2 linked regions of the Macaca fascicularis genome follow. The protein of the gene in region 2 interacts with the protein of the main gene of each other region in a pairwise test. Links are inferred from orthologs where the notes say so. Each region holds a gene or a part of one and is shown on either strand. Other genes may lie near its edges.

Region 1 (4,575 bases), on a different chromosome or scaffold from region 2:
AGTCCTTGTCGCAGGGTGTCTGAAACAAAGACACGCAAGGCACAGATGACACAGACTCTCAGGTCTCACAAGGACAAAGAAAACAGGAGCAAGAGGGCCTCTTCCCGCCAACTTCCCACAGGAGGCACCAGCACCTCTGAGCCGAGGAGCTTTCTCCAACACGGACACAATTTCCTAAGCCTTGCAGACCGGTGACTGGCACAGGGCTTCATGGAGGCAACACCGGGGTGCCTCCCACCCTCCACCAACCGCCCTACAAGGATCTGGAAGTAGGGAAGGGCTGCCGCCTCTGAAACACACACGTGGATGCAAGAGGAAGGGGACCTCAGGCCGAGGCTGCACTGAGAGGAACCTGAAAGCAGGACCAGACTTAGGGAAAGGCGGCAGCAGTCACATGGGAAGGCTGTCGGTCAGGAAACCTTAGAGGAGGAGGAGCCAGAGAGGGGAACACCGAGTGCTGGGGCCCCGCCCACTTGATGTTGCAGCCTGGAGACTCACCCCACCCCACGCAATTACCGTCATTCAACTCACTCCTCAGCTCCTGACCGCTTGCTGGCCCCGCAGCTGCTGCTCATCTGTCCATCCCTAAAGGGCTGTCCACAGGAGGAGCAGGCACCACTCAGAACAGACCCTACCACTGATCTTGCCCATCTGATGTTACCATGTTTGTTGTAAAGGAAGAGACTCACATTTTGGACAACTGGCCTCAGAGATTGGCTGACATGGAAAACCCATTGTGTGTGTGCTGACAGCAGAGCACTCACCAGTGCAGAGGCAGAAGCGGGTTCCTGTCCTCGAGGTTTAACCCATTTTGCCTCCTGCCCACAGCCCCTCCACCTCCTAAAAGCTCAAGAGATGATCAGACTGAAAACACCTGCCCATCTTGCTGTTCTGCCTACGCTGGAAGACCTGGCCCAGGTCGTGGAGGTCCCTGCTCCACTCGCCAGATTCACAGGAGTTATCTGACCAGAGTTGTCGCACCTTGCTGCTGCCACCGGCACTGCTGCCATTCTCATCCTCTTGGGGGCCTTTGCTGGTGCCACATTCTTGGTAGCCACCTGGGCTGTCAGCCATGAGGGAAGGACCCTCTTTTTAGTCTCGGATTGTAAGGTTTCCATCTCTGTACCTTCTCACAAAGAAAAGTCAGGGCCAAAGCTTAATGACCTGCTTTTTAGTTCAGGAAGGTAAATCCCGTTCTCTCGTCACACCCGGAATTACAGGTCCATTTGTCCTCAGTGGGAGTTGATCTTTGATTCCTACAAAGAATAAAGTTCAGTGAATTCCAATACCTCCAGTCATCAAGCAGTTACCGGCCGGTGCAGGGCAGGCCAAAGGTGACCAAAAGGTGAGCAGGGCCCAGGAGACTCAGACGGCCATTCACAGACATCAGGCAGACGTGATTGTGGGCATGAGAGCGGCTCAGGAGAGAGCCCTCTGACCTCCGCAAAGCGGTGCCCCCTACAGGCAGCCAGAGCCAACCAGAGCTACCTCCTGCAGCCTCTGTGCTGACTGACTCAGCACAGGAGGAAAGGAAGAGGCGGAGGCCCCCAATGTTCCTCCTCATTACCACCCCAAATGCCAGTCCTCGGGATGCCCAGCCCATCTAATCCCTAAAATATCTCTTAATGGCCTCTCCCTCACCTGGTCAACTCGATTTCTCCACTCCTCTGTGGTGGCTCAGTTACATGAAACTGAGGGCATTTTATTTCACAATAAAGTCTCATTGGCCAACACCCCGCCCTTAAGCTAAAGATATTTCTGATTGGTCAAACTTGAACCAGCAATAGGGGCCACGAAGCATAACTGTGCCAGTCTGTGGACTCTGAAGCCCACGCCAGACTCTGATCTAGTTTGGCCTCTCTTCTTCCTATCCCAATTGTTCTGCCTCCAGTCTGCAGTCCTGGAGCTCAGTCCTCACCCAGAGAGATGGAATTGTGACTCAGAGGGCCTAGGTCTCTACCTTCCACTTAGGAATTAAGCCACAAGCTCCTGAAGCAGAGGTATGCCCAGAAAAAAGTAGTCAGCGATAGTCCTCTCTGAATCACAATTTGATAATGTATTGCTCATTCAGAGGGCTGTTTACAACTTAAGAAAAAATATTAGCAGGCCCTCCTCCTAACCTGTATGGCCACGGGGCACACCTTTGCCAATGCCCCCTCATTTCTGTCAAAACTCATTGATATTAGTGACTCCTACTCCCTAAGGCGCCTCGCAAGTGCACTGCTGCAATCTATGTGGACAAATTTGGTTCACCCTGGGGTGCATATTAAGTACATTTCGCAAACGAGGAACTGAGACTGAGTTAACTTGCAGAAGATCACAGAGAAGTTTGAAATCAGCTGGTTGGATTCGCAGCCAGGTCCTGCAGACTCCAGACCCCGCGCCTCCCCGCCCTGCTTCTGGGCCCGAAGGGCAGGCCGCAGCACCTTCCAGAAGCCGGGTCTCCGGGGCACCGCGCTCGCGGACAGACCTCAGTCCCATGCCGGCCGTTCCCTGCCTAAGCGGAAGGGGGCCCCCGCGGGAACGCGATGTGATGCCAGTTCACAGCCCGCCCTCGCTCTTGGGGCCGGTACCCGCTGCTGGACCTGTGGGAGGCCCAGAGGGCCAGTGACTGCGGAGGGGAAGGCGGCGGCGAAGCACCGCAGGGGCCTCGCTGACCCTGCCGCACGCGGGTCAAGGCTGCACCGGCTCCTTCCGACCCGAGGAACAGCGCGCTCCTCCCGCCGGCTACTGGCTTCCCTGCTCTCAGGTTCCCTCTCTCCACTTCTTGTGCCCCTTCTTAGCTTCCAGAGCGGAGCCAGGAGGCAAATTCCGAGCGGTTGTGGGACCCGCGCCCCACCCAGAACTTAAATCCCCACCTTCTTTCCTAGCACCGGAACTCCCCTGGCCTCCTCTGGCCGCCTGCGTCTTCTGCGCGCTCCCGCCTCGTACACTTCCGGTCCTGGCGCGGCTCCCGGACCCCTCGGAGTCCTAGCACCCGGGACACTTCCGGCTCTGGGCAGCTGGCTCACTGGGAGGTCCGCGGGCGCCCCCTGCTGGCCGTGCCTGCGCCCCTTGCTGGCACACGGTTTCCTGCGCACTGCAAACGCGAGGCAGGGCAGCAGGCCTGAGGAAAGTGAGTGTCCATTCCTGGCCCCTGAAGTTAGTGGAAGGGAATGGGAGTGTTTTGGAAAGGCCTCCCGGGAATTCCCTCGGAAACCAGGTGGAGGATCCCTGCTGAGCCAGGCAGCCCTGGAGTGCTGGAGGAGGATGGGAGCCCGGCCTCCATTTGTTATCCTAATGAAGTGGAAAATTAAGAAGATAATAGAATAATAGCATAAGTGTAGCAGGACAAGCTGCAGACAAAACTCCTCAGACACTGAGTTAAAGAAGGAAGGGGTTTATTCAGCCAGGGCCATCAGTAAGACTCCTGTGTCAAGAACCGAGCAATTCCTGTCCCTTTTAAGGGCTTACAACTCTAAGGGGGTCTGCGTGAGAGGGTCCTGATCGATTGAGCAAGCAAGGGGTACGTGACTGGGGGCAGAATGTACCGGTAATGAAATCGGAACAATACAGGATAGGGATTTTCACAGTGCATTGCTATACAATGTCTGTAATCTATAGATAACATAACCGATGAGGTCAGGGGTCGATCTTTAACCACCAGGCCCTGGGTGTGGCCCCAGGCTATCTGCTTGTGGATTTCATTTCTGCCTTTTAGTTTTTACTTTTTCTTTCTTTGGAGGCAGAAATTGGGCATAAGACAATATGGGGGGGTGGTCTCCTCCCTTATAAGTACTAATAGTAAAATTATAGTAAGAGAAATAAAAGCTCATAGAATGAATTGCTGTATTAACCAAAGCTGAAAAGAATTTCAGCCCTCCTGAAGTTAAAGGAGGATATTAACTGCCAGTCCCAAGAAACATTAACTGTATCTGCCCTTCAAATATTTTGTGGGCTCTGTTAAGTTTGTGTTTTCTTTCTTCCCTGCACAGCTACAAGGTCTCACAGTGTGTCCGGAATTGACTGACTTCAAGAATGAAGCCACAGACCTCATTGTGAGTGTAAGAACTTTTACAGTGCTTAAAAGATGGTGAGTCCAGAGTTTGTTCCTTCTGACGTTCGGATATGTTCAGAGTTTCTTCCTTCCGGTGGGTTTGTGGTCTCACTGGTTTCAGGAATAACCTGAAACCACCTCCGCGGTGAGTGTTACAGCTCATGAAGGCAGCTTGGACCCAAACAGTGAGCACCAGCAGGATTTATTGTAAAGAGTGAAGAAACAAAGCTCCACAGGGTGGAACGGGACCGGACCTGGTCGCCACTGCTGGCTGGGGCAGTCTGCTTTTATTCTCTTATCTGACCCTACCCACATCCTGCTGATTGGTCCGTTTTACAGAGCACGTTACAGAGAGCTGGTTGGTCCATTTTACAGAGAGCTGATTGGTCCATTTTGACAGAGTGCAGATTGGTGCATTTACAGTCCCTGAGCTAGACACCAAGTGCTAATTGGTACCTTTACAATCCTTTAGCTAAACGCAGAGTGCTAGACAGAAAAGTTCTGTAAGTCCCCACTAGATTAGCTAGATACAGAGTACT
Region 2 (4,446 bases):
AAAGCAACCCTTATACAATTATTAACCCATTACTTACTTTTCCCATTATGTGTTTGCCTCCCCTATCATTTTTTAAGACTCATTTTATTATCGATTATTCAACACACGTGATTTAAGCACAAATTATTCACCAAATATTATACCACATAATGAGTATAAAATGAAGAAAACTAATGTCAAAAATGATGGTGACTAATAGTTTTCCTGCATCTCATTAATTGGCATCATCATCTAACCAACTTTTCAAAGTAGAAAACCATTAGTTAGCCCTTAAACCTCATTTAATATTACTCCTTACATCCAGTCTGTCAGAATGGCCTGGTTTTACTTCAAAAATGAATGACTCTCCTCCATGCCACCATCTCACTAAAGCAAAGGCTGGCAAACATTTTCTGTAGAGTCAGTCATTAGCTATTCGTTACTTTAGATTTTGTAGGCCATACATTCTCTTGCCCTTGTAATGCAAAAGCAACCAGACAATACATAAACAAATGGGCAGAGCTGTATTCCAATAAAACTTTATTTACAAAAAGAAATGTCAGACCAGTCTTAGCTCACAGACAGTAGTTTGCTGACCTCTGTCTTAAAGCATGCCACCATCAACTCTCCCTAAATTAAGCCTAACCAGGCTCTCTGCTCCCAGTCCACCTATTTAGAGTAGGGTACCCCATTATTCTATATCTCATCATTTTATTGCCTCTGTAGCACTTACCATAACATTTAATTATCATGTCCACTTGTTTTTGTCTTTTTCTTCCACTAGAGAGTAATTTCCTTCCCAAGAAAAAGTTTGTACTGTTATAAATTTTATCCCCAGGACCAACACAGAGTCACACAGCAGACATTCAATGAACATGTGAATTTATTACACATTCTTTTTCTTTTTTTTTTTTTAGACAAGAGTCTCTCTGTCGCCCAGTCCGGAGTGTCATGGCACAATCATAGTTCACTGTAAACTCCAACTCCTGAGCTCAGCCATCCTCCCGCCTCAGCCTCCTGATTAGCTGGGACTACAGGTGTGCACCAACATGCCTGGCTAAAATTTTTATTTTTAGTACAGACAGGGTCTCGTTTACTTTGCAGGCTGGACTTAAAACTATCCTCCAGCCTCAGCTTCCCCAAAGTACTGGGATTACAGGTGTGAGCCACTGCGCCTGGCCTATTACAAATTATCGATCTCATAGATCCTTGGTATCTTGCGAGAGAGAAAACTAAAAAGTACATAAACATATACATAACTGTAAAAAGTGCATTGGAAGAAAAATGCTATGAGAAGGGAGTATTGAGAAATGTAATTTAAAAGGGAAAGGGGTCTAAGAACTGTATTTCAGATAAGTGTACAGCAAGCGCAAAAAAAAAACAAAACCTTAAGGGAATCACACAACTTATTGGAGTATTTTTGGTTTCTGAGTTTGGGTAATTTCTAGAATGAAAAAAATTCAGCTAAGTTTGAGTTAGAAATGGAATCTCTCAATATCCAAACTACAGAACAACTGCTTAAATTGTGAGGATTTCCTGTTGGATTTAACAGGGTTAAGTCTCCTATAATTTAATGAGTCGAAATCATTTGTTTTGGTTTAAACTAATTATCAATTCAATTCATTCTGGTGATGGGGTCTCTCTCTCCCTCTTTCACTCCAATGGCCTCCTCGCTATTCCTCAAGCATGTTCCTACCTCGGGGCCCTGGAGCTTTCTGCTCCTTCCACCAATAAATACCAGAGTGACTAGATCTATCAGAAGGAATGAACGTCCCAGTCACCATAATCTCCACTTGGCAGCTTCATCTATTTATTTTTAGCTGCCAGTCTCCTATAGGTATTTATATGTGTGGCCCCTGAATTACAGCATCATCAATTCCTAGACCTCAGAATTCAGGCTTGTAACTTGCCCTCTCTGAGCTTTAGCTCTGAATTCATCTAGTTAATGAGATTGATATCTTCCTCAAAAGAAAGCAAGTAGTTAAACAATCAGCATATTGGTGGGCTCAGGAAAATCACTCAATACCCGGTAGCTTTTGTTATACAGCACAATTATTAATGAAAGCTATTCATTTGGGTGCCAGAAGGCATCCCAGATGACTTGTGGTAGATTATCACACCTTCTTTAAACCTCCTATTTAAGGCAGAATATAATGCCCTGACTCAATAGGCAATAAACCTCCACTGAACTAAATATCTCAACCTTCATTTACCTACTTACAACAAACGTCTGCCATTCACTAACAACTGGGCATACAACGATAAAGAATGAAAATGACGTTTACTGAGTGCTTAATATGGGCCAGACGCGGGGTCACATAAATGCTTTGCGTATTGTCCACGTCATTTAAAAATCACAAGAACCTAGTAATGAACCCAGTTTTACAAATGAGGAACCTGCCCAAAGTTGCTCAGCAAGTAACTGTCAGAGGCAGCACTAGATCCCAGGGGCTGACCCCCGAGTCCAGGTTCTCAACACTGAATCGGAGATTTGGTCCCAGGCCTGCAGGGGGTTCACAATCTGCAGCTGTCACTGAAGACGATCTACAGGGCAAACCCCAACCCGAAGGGCACCGGCGAGAACTGGTCCAACGCGACGCAGCAGACAGGCCTCTGGGTAAGGGGCGAGCGCGGAGCTGGTACCTTTGCCCGCGGTTTCCGCGCAGGGCTGTGGCGCCGAGGGATCCATCCGGCCAGGGGGAGGGGCCGAGCCCGGCTGCACGTAACACCCGGAAGGCGGAGGACAGCGAGGTGGCTGGCCGGTGGGCCAATGGCGGCCAACGCCACTTCCGGTCGCCCTCCGAGCATCGCTCTCCGGCAACCCGAAGCCACGGGAAGGAGGAGGGGGATCCCAGCTAAGGCAGCGACTAAGGGAACCCGAGGAGAACGGGAGGGCGACGTCCGGAGCGGCGGCAGAGCCACGGGACGCTGTGTGAGGCTGGCAAGGCGGTGTTCACCTAGTTCTTTCGGGCTCCGCCGCCGCCGGTGGAGAACACGAGGCCAGCATTGCGACCCCCAAATCTCCTCCTCAGGATCTGACCTCAGTCTCCTAACCCCGCAACTTCCATCCCGGCCTTGGAAAATCCCGCGAGAACGGGCTGCCGAATTGTCACTGGGATCTCGCGAGAACGAAATCTTCCTTTCCGTGGGCGGAGCCATCTTCCCGATGTCTCGCCCCTAGGAGGCCTGTAGCAGGAAGGGCCGCGGGAGTTGCGAGTGTCGCGAGGTTTGAGGTCGCTGGGTGGGCCGGGCGCTGAGCGACGCTGGTCATAACTGGGGGGCTTGGGAAGGCAGTGGCTGTGAAGGGCCACTGAGGCGGTGGAGGCCTGGCAGAGGGCGTCCCGGCGGTCGCGGCTCTTGGCTTCTCGGTGGAGCTTGGTTCGTCCGTGGTGGTGCCGCACCCCAGGAACTTCCAGGAGCCAGTCCCTCCTTGGAGAGCTCCCCGGGACACCCACAGGTGCCAAGTGAAACTAGCGCGTTTTCTTGGATCCTACACTTTGTAGTGAATCATAAATACTTTAAATACAAAGCCAACAACATTTGCTGGGAATAAACGTAAAAATACTGTTAAAGTGTAAAGTTTTCCTTCGTCCCTCTGACGTTTCTGGCGGGTCGCTGAACGCGGGAGACTCAGCCGTCTGCTCTGAGCCCGGAGCATCTGAGGCAGCCGCGCCCACCCGCGAGGTGCAGGAGGTACACGGCCCCTGACGCTCCCAGGCAGCGCAGACAGAGGGATCCGTAAGTGGCTTCCGCGCTTGTTACCATTTGCATACTCTAAGGTATTTCATGGATTGAGTGAAATACCTGACGGGGCCTGTATCCGTTCCCTATTGCCGCAATAACCAGTGACCACAAACTTTGTAGCTTGAAACAGCACAAATATATCATCTTGCATTTATTGTCTCGCGGTTCTGTAGGTCAGAAGTACTACTGGGTGTAACCTTAGCTGCACTCCTTTCTGGAGACTCCACAGGACCATCCTTAGCTTGCCTTCGCCAGCTTCTGTCAACATTCGTTGCCTTTGGCCCCTTCCTGCATCTTCAAAGCCAGTGACGTGCCATCTCCGACCCTTCCATCCTCAAGTCTACCGCTGATGGCAGCTGGAAAAGATTCTGAGGGCTCACCTGAGCAATCCAGGATCATCTTCCCATTTCCAGGCCTCTGCCCTTGATCACATCAGCGGAATCCTTTTGCCATGTAAGCTAATATATTCACGAATTCCAGAGATTAGGAAATAAACATCTTTGGGGGATCATTATTCTGCCTACAGTAGTGTCTTAAGAAAACAATATGGCTGTTTGCTCTGCAAATAGATCTCAATTCTTTGGCAGATACTAAAAACCAGTAGTATGTGTTCATAAAATGCTTCATTTAAAATATAACTTGTTTGCTTACCACCAGGTAGTAACTTTAAGCCTAAGTGAAACATCTAACTCAGCCATCTCTGTGTGAGATGTTGGCCAGGTC

Evidence for each region.
Region 1: the proteins of ERCC6L2 (region 2) and CYREN interact in binary tests that used the Homo sapiens proteins (3 or more experiments, as listed by UniProt). The two-hybrid records come from large-scale screens. The link is inferred for Macaca fascicularis from reciprocal best matches to the Homo sapiens genes ERCC6L2 and CYREN.

What each region holds. Positions count from the first base shown.
Region 1 is NC_088377.1:176,837,303-176,841,877, forward strand, and holds the start of CYREN (cell cycle regulator of non-homologous end joining), read right to left. Parts: upstream 2,928-4,575; 5' UTR 2,427-2,927; exon of another isoform or gene 1,642-2,426; intron 1,287-1,641; exon of another isoform or gene 1,257-1,286; 5' UTR 1,119-1,256; coding exon 982-1,118; exon of another isoform or gene 20-981; coding exon 1-19. UniProt on the Homo sapiens protein: Cell-cycle-specific regulator of classical non-homologous end joining (NHEJ) of DNA double-strand break (DSB) repair, which can act both as an activator or inhibitor of NHEJ, depending on the cell cycle phase.
Region 2 is NC_088389.1:127,167,490-127,171,935, forward strand, and holds the start of ERCC6L2 (DNA excision repair protein ERCC-6-like 2), read right to left. Parts: upstream 2,750-4,446; 5' UTR 2,669-2,749; coding exon 2,623-2,668; intron 1,131-2,622; exon of another isoform or gene 732-1,130; coding exon of another isoform or gene 713-731; intron 1-712. Other genes in the region: putative uncharacterized protein ERCC6L2-AS1, read left to right, coding at 2,750-3,160. UniProt on the Homo sapiens protein: Promotes double-strand break (DSB) end-joining and facilitates programmed recombination by controlling how DNA ends are joined in a spatially oriented manner during repair.